Linked DNA regions of Nothobranchius furzeri. The protein of the gene in region 2 purifies or fractionates together with the protein of the main gene of each other region. This does not show direct contact. Links are inferred from orthologs where the notes say so. Each region holds a gene or a part of one and is shown on either strand. Other genes may lie near its edges.

Evidence for each region. The genes of interacting proteins can lie anywhere in the genome.
Region 1: the proteins of cbx3a (region 2) and wdr5 purify together in Homo sapiens (affinity purification with mass spectrometry; 3 studies listed by BioGRID and IntAct, with this or other methods). This does not show direct contact. The link is inferred for Nothobranchius furzeri from reciprocal best matches to the Homo sapiens genes CBX3 and WDR5.

The regions. Positions count from the first base shown.
Region 1 is NC_091746.1:41,695,236-41,699,659, forward strand, and holds the start of wdr5 (WD repeat-containing protein 5), read left to right. Parts: upstream 1-1,510; 5' UTR 1,511-1,697; intron 1,698-2,504; 5' UTR 2,505-2,530; coding exon 2,531-2,608; intron 2,609-2,794; coding exon 2,795-2,903; intron 2,904-3,309; coding exon 3,310-3,383; intron 3,384-3,934; coding exon 3,935-4,024; intron 4,025-4,424.
Region 2 is NC_091751.1:29,401,515-29,405,688, forward strand, and holds cbx3a (chromobox protein homolog 3a), read left to right. Parts: upstream 1-1,551; 5' UTR 1,552-1,700; intron 1,701-1,713; exon of another isoform or gene 1,714-2,031; intron 2,032-2,214; 5' UTR 2,215-2,218; coding exon 2,219-2,361; intron 2,362-2,510; coding exon 2,511-2,667; intron 2,668-2,770; coding exon 2,771-2,865; intron 2,866-3,112; coding exon 3,113-3,239; 3' UTR 3,240-3,600; downstream 3,601-4,174.

The DNA.
Region 1 (4,424 bases), on a different chromosome or scaffold from region 2:
TCAACGAGTCATCAAGCTCTGCAGAAGATGGTCGTTAATTACCTGCTGATTACAGTCAGCTGTGTTGAATCAGAGACCTCTCTAAATTTTGCCTTCTTCAAGCCAGGAGACTCGTAACCAACGTGCACGTTCAAAATATTTATAGAAAAAAAATCTGGCGGACGTGACAACGTGCACGTTAGCCACAAGAACAGAACACGAGACAAAGCTCAGTTTAAAGTTAGAAGACATTTGTCAACATGATTTCAGATTCCCGAAATAACTTGTAAAAGCTTTTCATAAGCGGTGACGCAGAAGATATCGTCAAATACTTTTCGTTTACAGTGAAAAACGTGGCGTAATGTACGAATGAGACTAAATGACTAAATAAGCGAGATGGTTTTACTCAAAATGTATTAAAATGTAGGTTTGGACAAAGCGACATGATTGGCTTTAAAACGTTTCAAATACTTATCGTGAAATAAAAACACAAGTATGCACGATGTTCGTTAGCATAAAGTTAGCTAGCTGGTTTGGTAAGGGACACTGCAGCGGATGACAACACACTTTGTGACACCGACTGTTGATATAAGTTTCGAAATACCAACTACAGGTTTTGGTTAAGTAACGTTTGCTTTAATTTGGGGCAAAATGTAGCGCCAATAAATAAGCTTGAATTAAATTATCATATAACGAAGCGAAGAAGTCCGCTTCTTTAAACACCTATTGTTGTTATGGAGGAGGCTAACCGCTAAGTAATGAGTAAAAATAAGAAAATAACAACAGAAGTGTTTACCAACTCATTTAAGAGGGCGTGTTGACATGGGAGCTTGACGCTGCACGGCTTGGAAGAAAGCTCACCGAAGCCAAAACAAACTAGTGAACACCAGAGTGCAGTGTGTTCAAAAAGAACTAGAAACTTCTTCCCCGACCTATTGCAGCCACGGCTGAAGGGACAGGTCTGGTGCTCATAGCGCCATCTGTTGAGCCGGAGAATCCAAAGCGCGTTCACAGCTGATTTATGGTAAAAGTGTGAAATCTGCATTTCACAAAATCATATTTATAATTGTGGAAAGTATTGAGCTAAAAAGTAAATGGTTAGGGTTATATAAATAAATGCAAGTGATTTACTATGAAAATATCACAGTCAGTAGTTCATAACTACATAAAGCATAAAATAAGGTTACGACGTATTAAAGATATGTAATTTGTTTGTTTTATTTAGATTTTTGTTTGCTGTGTGTTTGTTTCTGTTTCATGTAGACTTTTCCTTTTTGCATATTGATTGACTCTGACAGCCACAGCCTGGTTTTTAAATGGCTACTGCCTTTCATTGAAATTTAGATGAAGTATTTCACATAATGTACTTCTACAAATTCTCTGTTGAGAATTTTTGTCATTTTAAATTTAAAAAATACAAACTTGTAATAAATAAGATTAATTAAAACTATTGGGCTCTTTTCAAACGGCAGTCGAAACGATTTTTTCATAATTGTCCCTCATTAGTTCCCGTCACTTTTGAACGTCATGCGCCTGCGCAAACTGTAAGCACATTCCCCGCTTCACCTCGCAGCTCGTTCCTTTACCAGGCAAACATCCTCAAGCAAATAGCTTGATTTGTTCTTTGTTCTATCTCTCTTTAGTTATTATACGGACTGTTTTAGATTTCCAGGATTTGCAAGGAGTACCAGTCTGACTGTAGATCTAAATTGATCAACGTAAGTATCGGTGTAAAACCGAATCTTCATTGTTTCAATGGAGGCCCCCTTCGTGGCTGCATAACTTGTCAACAGCATCAACTGCATGTCAAAACTGCGATTAGCTTCTTCATATAACTGTGGCGTTCATGCCAAAATACATTTTATTCCGCGAGACAGCCTCTAATCTATAGATCTTCACGTTGTTTTGTTCGAAGGTAACCCAAGTATATTCAGGTGTTGAACTTTACAGCGAACGTACTCGTTCTCCCTTTGTTTGCTTTTATTTTTCGCATAAATAATAATTCGAAGCAAAAACGAGCTGGTGTCAATGCATTTGAAGGCAACACAAGATGGTAAACGGTAACCGGACAAGGGGGTTGGCCTCAATCGGTTTTCATAGTAAGAGCAATTTAACGTTAGCTAACTTCAGCTAGCTGCATTAGCTAATTTTATAGCTAAACGGACCCTAAACGGGCATTTAAATACTTTTGAGCATCACAGCCTATTAATAAGCCTAATTAAAGTAAAATTTACATGATATATACTTAATTTATCTTATTTAAAGTAAACCCCACTGTTTATTTTAGATCACAGTAAAGGAAGCTAATGCTAACAGATAAAACAATAGTTTTTAATCACGTTTACCTTAATGGTGGTTATTAGCAGTCATCGAGCTGGAGGGTTTATCTTATTTCTCCAAACTTTAAAATTCCGGGTGTTAGAAATTGTAAAATTTCCACCCAATAACTTATCCCAGTTGTTTAATCTTTAGGTTTAACTTGCCTGATTTATTAACTTTTTTTATGGTTTCTTCTTTTGTCTCAGGTGCAATAGATGCTGATTTCCTCACCATGGCAACAGAGGACAAGAAACCAGAGACTGACACCAAGCCTCCAGTTGTCCCATCAGCCTCTGCTAGCCAAAGCAAGGTCTGACAAACCCAAGTTTTGGCATTGCCTGTAATCTCCCACCCTGTCCTCTTATGATAGTTTAATTCTAAGTTTTTGTTAAGGACTGTCAATATTCCAGCATTATTTCGGATTTTTTCTTTCTTTATTGAAAGTATTTCATCATGTTTATTCATTTGCTAAATTAGAACTGGTTTTCTTTTGCAGACTGCACCTGCAAAACCAAACTACAGTTTGAAATTCACACTAGCGGGACACACTAAGGCTGTGTCCTCGGTTAAATTCAGTCCAAGTGGAGAATGGCTCGCCAGCTCGTGTAAGCATCTCATTTTGAATCATATCTTGTTTAAATCTCAGCTACCTCAACATAAATCTTCTTTCATTCCATAATAAAATGTATTGGGTTTTGTGAAACTATGTTTGATCCAGAGCTTTTTTTAAAGTTTGATAAAACACTTGTACTGCATAGATGAAGTGTATTTTGTGCTCTAAGTTAAATGTAAATAACAATAATAGCAGTGCTTTAGTGACTAAATATTCTTATGCAATTGTGAAATTTTTATTGGTTTTAGTATTTATCTTTGGGTACACTCGTTTCATTTGAATATCTGATCAGCTGAAATGATTGAAATGGGGAAATTATATATTTTTTACCATTTTGCAACTTTTCAGTCATTTTTTTTCTCTTTTTCATGATGTCTTTTTCATTGTTTGTGTTACAGCTGCTGATAAACTCATCAAAATCTGGGGCGCTTATGATGGCAAGTTTGAGAAAACCATTTCTGGACACAAACTTGTGAGTAGAAGGGACCCTTACCTGTGGCACTGTTGTGTTTCTGCCTGCAGGACTGTATTAGGTAGAGTTTCACCGCTTTTACTAAAACATCAAAGACTCCTCCCACCCTGGTCATTACTGTTTTGGACTCTTGCCGTCCAGTTGGTGCAAACAATCCCCTTCCCCACAGCAGTAAACTAAATGTACTAAAACCCTCTCATGCGCATTAGAGCAAAAACCTCAGTCACCAGTGCAATAAGTCTAATATAAAGTGAATACATTTACTGCTGCTACATATCTAGTAAACATGTACTTCTGTTTATATATTTATATCTGTTCTTTTTTTCTTCTGTTATTCCAAACACACCATTTGAGTGCCATGCAGCAGCAGAGGGTATTCACATGCAGTGAATAATAAAAACTTTGAGTCTGATCTGTTTGGTCGTTCAAAGCAAGAACAAGATTGTATTTACATTTTTAGAAGATAAACATGAGAAATGACTCCATTGTTTACTCTTGTATCATTTTATGTCCTTGAAGCCTTGAGATCTTAGAATTTCTTTATTTTCCAGGGAATATCTGATGTGGCCTGGTCATCTGACTCCAACCTTCTTGTTTCTGCGTCGGATGACAAAACTCTGAAGATCTGGGACGTTAACTCGGTAAGAATGTTTTAAGGTGTGGTTCATTGAAAAACCTTTTTTAATGATTATTTTAGTTACTCTGAGGTTTTTCATGCAGGCTGAACATGACAAAAGTCTCCTATCTTCTGGATTAGCTAGAAAATAGATGGTGAAAGTCTAGGGTTAGAAAATCCTGACAGATCCACGTTACACTGTCACTAAACATTCATGGGCTCACCCATCTTGGCTCATGACGAGGACGGCTATTGTTGGTTTAGCGTCCAGAAAACAGCATAGAACATCTCGGCTGGTAGAAGCTAACCGTTAGCATTAGCAACTCCACCACACAGCAGAAGCTCATTCAGGCTTGTGTTAGTTGTGCAGATAAAACATCAGCGTTGCAGAGCAAACAGTGAGTGGTAGAGCTGTGTTGCTGTTA
Region 2 (4,174 bases):
AAGCGGTGGTCCCAGCTTTGTTGAATGTTGTTTTATATGCAGCGTGCTTCTGTAAGGTTTGCTGAGTTAAATAGAACAATTCTAAAACGGTCTCACGCAACTTCTTTTGTTTGATTTCCAGTTTACAGGGATGACTTTCTGTGATTTTTGGCTCCAGTTTCATCTAAAATGGATTTTCTTTCTCAGTGAGATTGTGTGAGGTATTCTAATCAGTTTTTTTCTTGTTTATAATTGTTTTATAATCTCTTTACTCCTAAAATACACCCAAAATGATACATAAGGTTGTATCTATGTTACAAAGACCCATTCTGGAAAACATAATTTCTCACTTTTCCCATAAAGATGCTTCTAAATGGCACAAAAAGGCAAACTTTACTCATCTGCTGACCCTTTTGTGCTTTACTTAAGTCAGCTGATCTGACATGAATCCCCTCACATCTACTAAAGCACAACCTCACCTAAAAATAACTTTAGAACAGAAGAAATCCCCTGTCATGCAAAATATGTTATCCACTCGCTACACAAACAAGAATGATTGTTGTCTGTTTATATGTTTGGGATTATTAGAGAATGCAATATGACAGGCTGAGTGTTTGATTACACTAGGGCAGGGGTGTCCAATCCTGGTCCTCGAGGGCCGTTATCCAGCACGTTTTTCGTTTTAACCTGCTTCAGCACACCTGATTTCAATCAGCAGGTGATTAACAGGCTTCTGCAGAGCCTGATGAGCTGCTGCACAGGTGATTCAACCAGCTAATCAAGCATTTTGAAGCAGAAAAACCACAAAACCTGCTGGTTACTGGCTCTCCAGGACCAGGATTGGACTCCCCTGCACTAGGGAGTGTATAAACTTAATTGTGATCCAAAGATCATGTTTTCTCTTTGTCCTGGTTTAAACGTTTATTTGTGTGCATTTCACTTTCATACATCTTGTTTTTTCATGCATGAGTCACATTTGTCTGTCTGTTTGCGGTGATTATTGAAAAGATAAATCTGATTGAAGAATACTTGATTTCTTTATTAAAAACATTTAAATAATGTCTTGTTTTGTCTGGCTAACAGGTTATATATACCATTACTGTTATGGTGCTGCGTGCTGGTGAGCATATCAACATTATTTTCCTCACCTGAGCTGAACACCTGTGTTGACCGGCATCATTTCAGGACAGAAGGCAGACAGATTTATTAAAATATGGCTGTAAAGCATATTTAACAAATACTCGTTCAAAATCACAAGCCAGTCATTTACGGTATTCAGTAGAAAGTAAAAGAAATTGTTTCACTCAGTCTGAGAACAATCTAAACAACTTGAGACATCAGGTGCTCAATTTAATCTGAATTCAGCATTAGCATTATGACTTTGGGGTCAATTTGTTAAATTTTTCATTTTTGAACAATCTGAAAAAGAAAATGATTGCTAGTGTTTATGCTTTATTCCTTCCACTACTTTATAGTTTAAAACATATATAAACGTTTTCATTTACTACCAACGTGTCTCAGATTGCGTTAACTAGCGGCTTGAAGCCTTGGTTCATGAAAAGGGCCCTTCTGGAACACATGGGTCAGCTCGGCTGCAGACGAATCGCTTTTCCTTCTGGGCTTCCGTAGCCACAACTAGTTTTTGGCGCCGCCTTCGTTGTGGGATCGACTTCATCCGAGCGGCGTGGTGCTGAACAACTATAGAAATCCGCGCGCTTTGGGTGAGTGTGCGGAGTTCTTCTCTTTTAAAACAATGTTGAGTATTTCTTTAATTACATCAGGCTACTCTGAGCGTGTTAAAACGCCACCTATACGTTGCTGGTTTTTTGACAAACAGCAGTTTAGTTGTTGACCCAGCAGCGTTAGCATCGCCATTGTTTAGCTATTACTGTAATATGTTAAGCTAGCTGAAAGTAAGGCAAGTAAGGTGTTGTTTTGTGGGGATGTGTTGTAGTTTTACCACAGTTTTTATTTTATCTTTTACAATTCTACTAATTCTGTTGCTCAAATAAAATCCGCAGATGAGACTGTTTAAAATCAAGGAAATTTTAGGTAAGGGGTCAGCGTGTTAGCAACCTTTGTTACGTTTAGCTGCTAAATGCTGAGCTAACTAGCAGGTGGGCCAAATTAGAGTAATGTCCTATGTTAGCGTTGGCTGAGTTATTTGTAGCCTAGCATCCGGGTGGATTTAAGGCCTTCCGAATAAATGCGGCTCGTCTTTTTATCTTTAAAAAGCAAAATGGGCAAGAAACAGAATACAAAGCCTAAGAAGGAGACCGAGACCCAGGAGGAGCCTGAAGAATTTGTTGTGGAGAAAGTGTTGGACCAGCGGATCGTCAACGGGAAAGTAGAGTTCTACCTGAAGTGGAAAGGCTTCACAGAGTGAGTTACCCGGGACAATGTCCTGCTCTCTCCGCCTCTAACGCACCGTGGCTGCATGAAGCCTCCCAGCTTTTCCCTTTTAACACGTTTGGGATGTTTTTGGTTTGAACGCTAACCTGTTTTTTTTTTTTTTTTTTTTGCTCCCTCAGAGCGGACAACACCTGGGAACCCGAGGATAACCTGGACTGCCCCGAGCTCATTCAGGCCTTTCTGGATTCCCAGAAGAATATAAAGGAGAAGCCGGCTGCAGTGAAGAGGAAGGCCTCCACAGATGATGCAGAAGAGGAACCCAAGAAGAAAGATGTGGTTAGATTATACGTTTTTTATGTCTCTGACCTGCTAGCATGATTCCCTGTAGGTTGTGCAATCAGAATATGGTTTATAACCTGTTTTTGTTTTTATTTGACAGCCTGATAAGCCTCGCGGCTTTGCCAGGAACCTGGAGCCAGAGCGAATCATTGGTGCCACAGACAGCAGCGGGGAGCTGATGTTCTTGATGAAGTGGTGAGTTAGGCAGACTTTACACCCAATTTCAACAAGAGTAGTTTCACATTTACCTCGGTTGCTTTGCATGGCCATTAGTGTTTTTTTAGGGAGTCGAACTAAAAGCGGAAAAGGTTTATTACAAACATGTAGAGTATTTAGAAATAAAATCACTTGAATATATATAATTTATTTCTTTGATTTTTAAATAGGCTTTTCTAAGATCTGCTGTTTTATTTTAGTTTTTATTTATTTTTTTGTCCCCCAGGAAAGAGTCAGATGAAGCAGACTTGGTCCCTGCTCGTGAGGCCAACACGCGCTGCCCTCAGGTGGTCATATCCTTCTATGAGGAGCGGCTGACGTGGCATTCCTGTCCAGAGGATGAGGCTCAGTAGCCTTTGCCTGGATTCTGCACACCTTTATGTTTTAGGTTTTTATTGTGTTCTCTGTTCTGCTTTTTTTTTTCTTCTTTAGCTACTTTAGCTGATTTGAGACAAAATCATTTGTATGGCAGTTGGGGTATTGTAGATTAAAAGTTTGTCAAAGCAGGTGACTGGGTTGGATATAAGATTAGTCAAAAAGCGATAATGTCAGTCCACATTCCAATTTGTTTATTTTTTTTACTTGAGTCTATGTCAACCTTTTTGAGTTCAGTTAAATGTTTTGTTCCTTGATGCAAGTGCCGACGTGTTTGAAATGAACGCTTTGTTTACAGTTTGTAAATATAAAGTTCAAATAAAGGTTTTATGTGGCCTAGTTTTACCCTCTTCATTTGTAGTTTAGGACAAATGCATACAGAAAAAAGAAAACCTAAATGTTGCTTTATTAAAAGTGTCACAGCCAGCTGAGTGGTTCTGTCAGGGTATCAATCCTTGGCCTACATCAGAATGTTATTTTGGCAGCAGCATTCTGATCTCCTTAGAGGAACAGTGGTGAGATATTTATCCAAGGAGGACCATGAATGTCCACACCTGTCTGGAGCTCTATCAGCTGCTCATTCTGTTCTGCACTTGGTGTAAATGAGGCTTCAGTCTGCTGGTTCTCAGTAATGGATAATGGTTGGTTTCTTCTATAACCACTTGTAAAGACACATTATGGAGTTTATTTTAAAAGTAACTGGTCACATGTTAACAGCTATTTGCCTGTCGGAGATGTTAAACTTCCAAAAAAGCCTGGAACAGCTGGCAGGAAGTGTTGATGAATGGAAACATTTAAAGGAGACTAAAATCAGTCCAACCATAGTTTTACCTGTCATTTGATCATTGCATCTCACCTAATGATGCTCACACTAAAAAGGTAGAGATCGAAGACTTGGCTTTATCACCTGTAG